3 linked regions of the Tribolium castaneum genome follow. The protein of the gene in region 3 interacts with the protein of the main gene of each other region in a biochemical or structural test. Links are inferred from orthologs where the notes say so. Each region holds a gene or a part of one and is shown on either strand. Other genes may lie near its edges. The genes, in order: ago, peptidyl-prolyl cis-trans isomerase NIMA-interacting 1 and Jra.

What was found.
Region 1: the proteins of Jra (region 3) and ago form a complex in vitro, tested with the Homo sapiens proteins (3 studies listed by BioGRID, with this or other methods). The link is inferred for Tribolium castaneum from reciprocal best matches to the Homo sapiens genes JUN and FBXW7.
Region 2: the proteins of Jra (region 3) and peptidyl-prolyl cis-trans isomerase NIMA-interacting 1 form a complex in vitro, tested with the Homo sapiens proteins (2 studies listed by BioGRID). The link is inferred for Tribolium castaneum from reciprocal best matches to the Homo sapiens genes JUN and PIN1.

Annotation. Positions count from the first base shown.
Region 1 is NC_087394.1:36,180,039-36,184,450, forward strand, and holds the start of ago (archipelago), read right to left. Parts: upstream 2,861-4,412; 5' UTR 2,600-2,860; intron 2,466-2,599; 5' UTR 2,456-2,465; coding exon 2,096-2,455; intron 2,050-2,095; coding exon 1,939-2,049; intron 111-1,938; coding exon 1-110. Other genes in the region: uncharacterized protein LOC655874, read left to right, coding at 3,203-3,326, 3,371-3,525, 3,573-3,784, 3,830-3,954, 4,153-4,412. UniProt on the Homo sapiens protein: Substrate recognition component of a SCF (SKP1-CUL1-F-box protein) E3 ubiquitin-protein ligase complex which mediates the ubiquitination and subsequent proteasomal degradation of target proteins.
Region 2 is NC_087394.1:12,589,630-12,592,488, forward strand, and holds peptidyl-prolyl cis-trans isomerase NIMA-interacting 1, read right to left. Parts: upstream 1,521-2,859; 5' UTR 1,418-1,520; coding exon 1,363-1,417; intron 1,310-1,362; coding exon 1,106-1,309; intron 1,057-1,105; coding exon 836-1,056; 3' UTR 583-835; downstream 1-582. UniProt on the Homo sapiens protein: Peptidyl-prolyl cis/trans isomerase (PPIase) that binds to and isomerizes specific phosphorylated Ser/Thr-Pro (pSer/Thr-Pro) motifs.
Region 3 is NC_087399.1:145,979-149,111, reverse strand, and holds Jra (Jun-related antigen), read left to right. Parts: upstream 1-1,152; 5' UTR 1,153-1,296; intron 1,297-1,344; coding exon of another isoform or gene 1,345-1,417; intron 1,418-1,458; coding exon of another isoform or gene 1,459-1,577; 5' UTR 1,578-1,585; coding exon 1,586-2,269; 3' UTR 2,270-2,485; downstream 2,486-3,133. Other genes in the region: phosphatidylinositol N-acetylglucosaminyltransferase subunit Y-like, read left to right, coding at 1,345-1,417, 1,459-1,577; ClC-b (H(+)/Cl(-) exchange transporter 7), read right to left, coding at 2,635-2,817, 2,866-2,949, 3,005-3,133. UniProt on the Homo sapiens protein: Transcription factor that recognizes and binds to the AP-1 consensus motif 5'-TGA[GC]TCA-3'.

The sequences.
Region 1 (4,412 bases), on a different chromosome or scaffold from region 3:
GTCGGCGCACGAGCAGAGGGCTCAGATGACATCGAAGTAACGTCAGATTTCTTTTCTGGTAGCAACTTCTTGCACGGAAACCCATTCTGCACGTCCAACTTCCGTTTTCTCTAAAAAAACCGAACAAAACACATTACAACTGCTAACAAAACAGCACAAAATATTCGTTTCAAAAAATATCAGAGAGAAGATTAGGCTAAAATCATATGTCGATCAACGTATTATGTTATCGACTCAACACTTACAAGTTTCATCATTAAAAAAAAAGAAGTACGACTGTTTTATTTTTGTTAAGCTCTTTACATTTGCGATTAATACATAAACACCATTAAGGTGAAAATAATGTAACATCTTAAACCGGAAAAACTAGCGTTAAAAAGCAAAATTAACCTGATAAGTTTTTTATGACATGCAGTTAATTATTACTACACTGTATTCTAATGCATGTGATTATGTGGAAATTGCTTTATTATCATAGATATTTGAGTAACATTGTTTACTAAACACAGAATTAGAGGTTGTCAAAGGTAACAAACATTTTTTCAACAATTTAAAAAAAAATCTACAGGCATAATAAATAACTATGAAAATTGTTAGTTTGTATTATACAACGATAATTTCAAAAAGGATCAAAATTATTACCTTTTATGTCTATCTTTAATTTACGTTATCGCCCAACTCGTGTTTACCAATACAAAAACAACAAGTAAACTAAATAGTTAAAAACAGCAAAGTCCCAAACAGGTTAAAGACCTTCATTGACCATGGGAATGTTTAAAAAACGAGCAATAACTTTAATGCACTACTACGTAAACGTGACTTATTCGCGTATTACTTATCGATTTTTCCCCAATGCCCCTTAATTATTCGTTTTGTTATTTTATCTAAAAGTTATATAAAGATTAAATACATAATTAAAACTGTGACGATTGTTTTTAAACTCGTATTATACATAGATAAGGTAAGCGTTCATTAAAACCAAATTCCTTTAAATTACATTTTCGACCAAATAGTCAAGACCAACTCGTATTTTTTAATTATTTTCTTTTTAAATTGTCAAAACAACAACCAAAAATGGTCACAACTTTACTTATGAGAGTAATATTATTTATTATTAGTCACATTTTGTTAAAAAAAATTAAACAAAAACTAGTATTGAGAAATTATTTAATACAACAGGTATTGCAAAGATTAAGTACCACCTGAGCAGTGGCGTAATAAAATGTGTCACTGATTTGTTTACAAAAAATTGCAGATAATTACACTAGTTTACCACGATTTTTACCAATGTCAGTAGAATAATTACCACTAAATCTGATGCTGAAGTCGAAAACAAATTAAGTTTAAATACTCATTATAAAGTATCAGTATTTGACAATTTTCGCAACATCTAAAATGTTACAGATTGCTTCTTCTCTTGTACTATCAGGGTGTTTATCTCAATGTGGACTAGTAGAAAACGAATAACATATTTTTATCCCAAAAACCTTAATAACTCTCTTCATAAGATTTGATGAAAATATTTACCATTTGATCGTTTAAGTCTCCCAGATTTTATAGACAATTTTACCACAAACAAAACAAAAGTTGTTTGGACTTAATCTACATTCACTTGAAGATATTTTAAAATAATTACAAGGTTTAACAATAGTTGATCACAGAAACAATGAATGCCACCAGAAACAAATTTTTAAAACTTTTAGTGAATATATTAAGAAAACTACACGTGTTAGACAAATGTGACATATATTTTAGTTATCAGTGAATAAGAAAAAAGCAAAATTAATATAAATTATCTCTGCCTGTAATTTTTTGTTTGCCTTGTGCTAACCATTTGCAGAAAATGCATTATCCAGTGATGGAAACAGTCAATGGGTTTATTTTTAAAATAATATTATTGCACATTCGCTTGAAACAACAAACATAATTTCTGCTTACCCAGTATCTGTCAGTGGCGTACGACCCACTTCTCTTCGCGTACGAACTCCTTGGTGTTGTTTGATGAGGACCTGGAGGTGAACCTGAAAAAACTTCACTGCTATCTTCGTCCTGTAAAAATAATTTAGTAAAAAGTTAACACACTGTATGGAGTTACCTCTTCTAGCTCTTGATTTTCTTCAGAGAGGTCTCCTTCAGTACAATCCTCCCAGTTTTCTTCCTTCTCAAAACTGTCTTCTTCATCACATTCTTCCAGACCTAGCTTATTGAGAAAGCTAGTTTTTTCAGTCTCCTCGCCCGATTGACTAATTCTAAATATCTCATCTAGTTTTTCACTCAATGGAGCTAAGTGATTCTGGGATGTACCTGGTGCATTATCAGTGGTACACAACGACTCTAGACAAACGGTTTCAGTAGGGCTAGGGCTGGTGCAGTCTTGTTTTGGAAGTTCTGAATCTCGATTAATACTAGATAAGGGGTTGAAATTACTTCTGCCTGAAGGACATGATTCTGCCATTATCTACAGTCTAGAAAAAACAAAAAACGTCTTAAGTAAAGTTTTGCGATAAAATTATCTCCGCGAGTGAAACACGTTATCCTACTTAATTACAAGATGAGTGCAATGGGGGAAAAATGGTTAGAATAATTGCATCTGACATACCTACTGATGTAATTTTCTATCATTATTCGAAGGCATGAAACGAAACTACTCTAACTACCAGATAATTGCAAGAGAAGAAGGAAAATTAACGAAATGCTTCCAAAAACTATGCATCAAGGACCACTGTTTGCTACTTCCTATCACTCCGAGACACTAAAGCGAGTTTTCTTGTGCATCTCGCTGGGTAAAATACCTTTTCAAAAAACTACACTGACGGCCATTCTCAAAATACTAGGATTTATTGGCACCATTACAAATATCTGGACGAACTTGTGTAAATGAAGAATAAGAAATATCAGCAAAATCGCGTGGCTAAGGCGCCGCCCCGTTTCACAAACACCCTGACTCCACAAACCATTCGCCCAAAAAAACATCCAGGACCCCAAACTTTTGGAAAACACTCACCAATTGCAGGAAAATCCGTTTTGTGTTTTTCCCCAACACCATTGCATTGTATTTCGAGAATTTACGCTACGATTTCGTGACTTTAGTTACAGGAGTAGCAAGGTGACAAGCTGGGGGAATTTAACGGCGCACATGTGATTTTAGTGGCTTTTTTGCACCAAAACTTAACCTCGAACTCTTTTTTGAATTTGTGTTAAAATGATTGAAAACGAATTAAATACGGTGGTTTATCCACCGAATAAATCGCTGCAACGGAAAGTCGAACTTTCGACAACACCGGTCGTTTACAAACACTTACTTTTCCTAGAATTTAATGAAAAAGGTAAGGTGGGTTTTTTTCAATTTTGGCGATTAATTGTCTTTTAGACGAGTCAGTTCTGGGGTGTTCGAACTTAAACGGGACTCTTTGGGAAGGCACTTTGCTATTTTTCTCAAATGAGGAGAATTTGTTGCTTCTGAAACACAACAGAAGCTTGATTGGGTCCACGGTTTCAGACGGGAAATTTTTAAACGACAGTACTGTAAGTTTCAGCTAAATGTGTACACACAACAAATAATATGAAAATAGTTTGCGTTAGCTGAAGATACGGGTCTTTTAAATATTCTCACAATATCACGTGAAAACCAAACCATACAATCGGCAGGTTATTATAGGGAAATAGATCGCATTCCGAAAATCGCAGTTTGGAAGAACAGCACACGGATACTCACCTGCTCGAATAAAGCGGTGACCATTTGGGACATTAATAGCACTATCCGTAAACCACTAAATCACTTTCCGTAAGTTTTATCAACAATTTTCCCTTATCTAAGTTTTATTTCCAGCGATTATCACACGGAACTTGTAAACTATGTTGATACACTTAAGTCGGAACCAAACGTCTTTGTCACAGCTTCAATGGACCGGAAGTGCTGTATTTGGGACGACCGTAATCCGTGCCCTGCCTCAGGTAATTATTTTTTCGTCCAGTGAGGCGAAAAAATCATGTATATTTCACGGGAGCAAAGTGAAGATGTAAACATTATTTTCAAGTATACAAGTGTCCAAAGTTAGCTACAATAGGAAATTGTTTTTTTTTGTAATGGATGTAGCTTTTAATACTGATGTTTTTGAGCTAAATTTTTATCGAAAAATATTTATTTTTCAGTTTTGTACAACAACGAGTTTTGCTCTCTAACCAGCGTTGCATGCAACCAACACAACACGAATTACGTTGTTGTGGGCACAGAAGGCGGCGACATTTACCTTCTGGATAAACGCGAACCGAAAGACTTTATTTCAGTTGCTAGTTGCAACTGCTACATCTACAGACTGGCTTTTGATGATTACAATAAACTGGCAGTGTGTGGCGACAATAACAAAGTTCTAGTATTTAAATGTGAGGACGAAATCTTAAACAGTGCTTAC
Region 2 (2,859 bases), on a different chromosome or scaffold from region 3:
TAAATATGATTCTAATCCACCTAACTTAATCACCGACTAATTAAAAGTGTTGCAATTTTTTGAAGGGATGAACAAGCTAGAGATCCAATCTTTCAAAATTTGTAATCGAGTTCGTATTGGAATATGTATTGTTGATTGCATTTTACAGGCGCAGGCCTTGTAAAATTACGTGGAAGACCCTGTATTGATTATTATTGAAGCATCGTTTTCTTTGTAGTTACACCATAACGTTTTACAGCAGTTAATGCTGTTTATGATAAACAATCCTCAAAATAAGATGTTTCGACAACGGTGACCAAAAGATATTTACGATACCGATCGGTTCGTCTGAAAGACTACATCCTGGTTTGAAGTAATCTCAATAAAATTTAATGGTGTACAAGCAAAACGTTGCAACAATACTTTTTGTGTAAAAAAATCTGTGTGTATTAGTAGTTTCGAACTATTGTAACTACGCGAAAGGCACTTTGAAAATAAAAGATAGTTATTACCTATTATTGATTTAAATCTTCTCATCCTCACTTGTATTATGCTTGCATCTTAGCAAATGTTTTACTTTTGATTCTGGAATAAAATCCGGGCTAACAGGAGTGCTTAGGGCTCTTTATTGTGCATAAACAAAATAACAAAAGTATCAGGAATAAGTTACCTCATTAATAAGTAAAAAGTACAATATAAAAGAAATTTACACTAAATTTACAGCTCCAATCTCATCGCAATATATATAAATATGAATTTGTTTGGCATAGATGCATCATAAATTACGTTAACAAGACCTGAAAGAACATGAATGAACTTATAATAAATGTAAAAATGGTCTAGAAAGAGTACAAATCTAAACAGTACGCAGAATAATATGCACCCCCGAATCGGTAAAGACAGGTTCTGACAACTCCCCAACCTTGAGCGCAAACGACGCCTCCTCAAAGGGCTTCTGCATGGCCCCCCGTTTGAACGAGCCAAGGTCGCCCCCTCGTTTAGCAGACGAGCAATCCGAGTACTTTGAGGCTAAGTCAGCAAACGAGGCCTTGCCCTGGACGATTTGTTCGCGATACGCTGAAAAAACGTTCAAAAGTGGTGACATTTCTTGGCCAAAAACACTCACATTTGACTAATTCCAAGGCTTCGTCTTTAGTCCTTGTGATGTTCTCCTCTCGCCAAGAGGACGGTCTTCGCGAGTCTTTGTGTTTGACGAGTAAATGTGAGCACTGGACTTGTTCGGGGCCGCTCGAAGACACAGGTTCTGCCGGTTTGTCGGGAACGTCCCATTGGGACTCTTTGGTGTAAACGTTCAGGTAGTAGTGTTGGCCTAAAATACACGTTTTGAGTCAAGGGAGAATGATTAAAACTTAACCGAATTACCGGTTGACCGACTTAACCGCTTTTCCCACCCAGTAGGCAACTGTTCGTCCGCCATTTTCCTAGAATGCGTGTTTATTTATCGGCTAACTTCACTCGAGGCTTTATTTCTGTGAAGACAGCTACACGAGTTAGCTCCTTCAGTTTCCGGAAATACCCGGACACAAACCACTTTCACACCAACAAAATAAGCGATTGTATGGTTGGTTGCCAACACTAAAGACGTTCAATATTGAGAAAAACTGAAAAACACAAACTTCTCTTAAGGCTTCAGGGTACCGAAGCGATTGTTGAGAATTGGTGTACTACAAGTTGCATACTTTTTTAGACCTGTTTTCAGTGACAGCTGTCAATCATCGGATAGGCATCCGACCTTCGCCTCGGGGTGTCTTGTCCCTTCTCATAAAATGCAAATAATGTAAACAAACTGAATTCCACTATCGCCCACGATAGTTTCTCTTATTTCAGAGATTCAAGCAACATACAGTAAAAAAGACGTTTTTTATTTTGTTAAAAAAATTTGATACTAAAGAATAATAAAATACTAGCATAGTTTTGTAAAAAATAATACACCATTACACCATTTATTTATTGGGTTTTATGTTTTAATTAACCGAATTCTGTTCGCTATATTATGTGTCATGTGCATTTCTAATTGGATCACTTGCATTGAAAAAATATAAAATAAAAAAATTAATTGGTGAAACATTATTGTTCTTTCAGAAAACAGTTTAACTTTAAAAAAGTTACTAGGAATATCTCATTAAAATGATGAAAACTTCATTAAACCCGCTTTTTCGTCTGATAATTTTATCCAGGTAATAAATTCTGAAAAATACATTGTTGTAAAAATTTATTCTAACTATACCCAGTAATAATTATAGTACAAATAACGTATCGAGAGATTGTAAGATCCAGTCTTAGGGATATAATTTGTTTACGTTACGCCTTGTAAAATAAATGATACTTTTATAATTATGTATTATTTTAGAATTTAGGAATTATTTCTCGTTTTTTTATTAAATTTATACAATTTTTCTATAACTAGCTTGCGAAGATATAGCTGCGTTACTCTTACATTATATAAATTTTGTGTATTTCTTTAAAATATAACGCATCTTCTGGTGTTGCAACAATAGTCGGTGCAAGGACTAAAAAAATTTTATACGTGGGAGTTAAAAATAAAAATTGTAAAAAATGTATGTATTATAAGAAAAAAAACCAAACGACGCCCCCTCATAAATGTTTTAAAAATTGGAAAAACACTTCAACTTCAATGGAAGCAGCAATTATTTTGGATGGATTTAAAAAATCAGTAGACATGCATAACGTAAGATTTAAAAACCTCATAGGAGATGGTGATAGTAGCGTCTACAAAAAAATTCGTAATGCAAGACCATACGGGCCTAATTATTTTATTAAAAAAATTGAATGCCGAAATCATATACTACGAAATTTTTGTACTAAAATTAGAGAAATCGCTAAAACTCCTCGTTCTGA
Region 3 (3,133 bases):
ACCTTGATTCTAACGGAAAGATTCATAAAGTGCGATCTGCGTTTAAGAAAAATATAACGGATTGTTTTTTCAATTTTTATTGATTGATAGTAAATGAACTGAAGTGAAGAAGGGTTACCATTTCCGTAATTACAAAAAAAAAAGTTGGCGTATACGTGTTACTGATTTGCTATGATGTGGCTCGATTAACTCCTACATAGTTTTTTTTTTCCGAAAAAAAAAATGTTTCGTTCGTGTTGCAAAGTCTGCAAAGTTGTGTCTACCCTTTAATTTATTATCCTAATTAGTATTACGAAACCGTTTGATACAATTGGATAATTCACCATATCCGTCCAAATTTGTTGCAATTGATGAAATAACACGTTGAATAACACCATCCATTTTTCCGCTTTGCGAAGGCGAGACAGGAAGTGGCAAATATTCCCTGTGGAATTATTATTTGCAAATCAATTTTATTTGGGTTTTTTAACCTATGAACCGTTGATGTATACCAAGGACGGACCAAGGAGCTCCTTGATGCATACACTCGGGGACGTATTTTGATCGAAAAAGTAATTTAAATGAATTATCCTATTAAGGTCAAGGGAACTGTGTTTACCCTAGGCAAACTAGCTCATACGCTACAAATAAAGCAGGTTAGGAATTTTTTCGTCATTTTGAAGAAATAGACAACTATTGTTGATCTCTTTATTACAATTTCTGTTATTTTAGTGCCAATGCTTCTTATCATACATTTTCTAAATAAAGGTTTTTTCCTCGCATGATAATTAAAAATAGTTATCTATTTGGTTATTACCATAATTTGTTTTTATTTTGTAGTACTTATCGCATTTAAAGTCGGACAGAATATAAAATATTTACACTTTTTTCTTTGTTTCCAAAGTTTTTTTGTAAATTAAATCACAATTTTTGAATGAAAATCGGCTAAAACTTTAGTCGTTAATATCACTGTCTTTTCATTTCTTAAATCGTATTTTTTGGATGGGGTAAGATGGGGTTCAAAGATCATGTTGGCAACCCGTAAAACACTGCGGTCAGTTTCCTGTAGAATTGTCTAGGTGTCGCTTTAGCGAATCATTTCGACATGACGTCATTCTCATTTCTGAAAATCCATGAAAGGGATGACTCATTCATATCGAAAGTTATTACGTCGTATTTGTTAGTATTCTGTAGTATTTCGAGAACAATACTACACAAGAAGTTAAAAGTTATATTCAAGAAATTTTCAAGCCAGTGTTGTGCTACATTGTGAGTCATTACAAATAAAAGCGCTTTGCTTTTGAATGTGGTGTTAAAGTAAGTGTTATAATATTAAAGATTCATTATTTACTTTTTTACCAAGTAATGCTTGAGGGACACCTCACAGACCTTCACTTTGTTTTCTTCTTCGAGAATCTTCATTTCTCGATATTCTTTTGTTTGCTATTGACGTAACTTAACCTAAAATTTCCATTTCAGATTTTATGGAAATTAGTGATTCCGTTTATTATTCACTGTTGGCTTTGGTCGTCGTGCCTGTTTACCTATTTTTCAATCTTTGGTCGTGGTTAGGTTGGGAATTGTACAAAAATAATTGATAAAAAAAATGAGCGGACCCAACTTTGAAAGTCAGCAAAAAAACCTCAGTAACATGAAGAAAAATCTCACTCTTGATCTTAATCAGTCGAAAATGAACATGAACCTATCGTTATCCCCCGACATCACGTCCGTCCTCAAAGTAGATACCCCTGACCTCCTCAAAGTGGACACACCCACCATTGAGAACATCATCTTGGCGAATAATATTTCACACACGCCTTCCCCTTCACTTATCTTCCCGCGGGACGTCACTGTGGAGCAAGAGAAGTTTGCAGGCGGTTTCGTCGAAGCGCTTAATTATCTTCACAATGGCAATTCTCAGCAAGGTTCTGACAGTAATGCCAGTACGGTTTACAGCGAACAGCAGAATTTCATGCCTGTGATCAAAGAGGAGCCCCAAACGGTGCCCAACGTGAATAATACGCCCCCAATGTCTCCTGTCGATATGGAATATCAGGAAAGAATGAAATTGGAGCGAAAGAGACAAAGGAATAGACTCGCAGCCTCTAAATGTCGTTCCCGCAAATTGGAACGAATCTCGAAATTGGAGGATAAAGTCAAACTGTTGAAAAGTGAGAATGTTGAATTGGCTTCAGTGGTCAACCAGTTGAAGGAACACGTGGGGATGCTCAAATTGGAAGTGATGGAACATGTGAATGCTGGCTGTCCCATCATTGCGGGACAGTTTTAAGGATAGAGTACGATTTATATTTTTTTATAAAAATTATACACCAGAGTGATTTTTTTATATTTTGGTGCTGAGATATTCATAGTTGTAGCTTTAATACTGTGACCATATTTTGTATGGAGCCATTTGAATTGTATTATTTACGGTAGATTTAGCGCGATTTGTTTTATTTTATGTAGTTTATCACATTTTTATTAATAAAAATTGTCTCAGTAACAAGTAGTGAATTCATTAAAAAAAATTGGTTAGAATAAAAACAATGGAAAATGGGTAAAGTCTTTAATTAACAATAAATAAAATTCTTTTGTCAAAAGCGACAACATAATTATTCGTGAAACTATATCATCATATCATAATACTGTAAGCGGTCATATTTCTTTGGAAATTAATAATTCTTCTACCCCCATGCGACCCCGATGTCTCCAGACTCTATAACGAGCTAAATCTTTCCTTGTTACCATTCCTATAACCTCATTTGTGTCATTAACAATCGGCAAATGTCGTAAACCGAGAGCTCGGAATAATCTAAACATTCGAGGTAGTGATGCCGACTGAAAAAAAAAAATGATTAAATGCTAATTACTTGTTTTTTTAATTACATGAAGCACCGTATATGGTGACGGATTCATAAACGGCCTCAGATCAATAGAATAAGTTTTTTCAACTTCGGAAACACTCACTTGCTAAAGAATTAAACTTAATTACTTAAAAAGGAAAGGGCGAGAGAAATACCACTACCTCTATTGTTGGATATCGGGGATACTCATCTCGAAAGATTCCCGCATTAATATCCTCCCAAAAGTCCGAATTTTCGTTAAAAATCTTCTTTTTCAAAATAACAATTAATTGTGACCTCAAAACTAACCC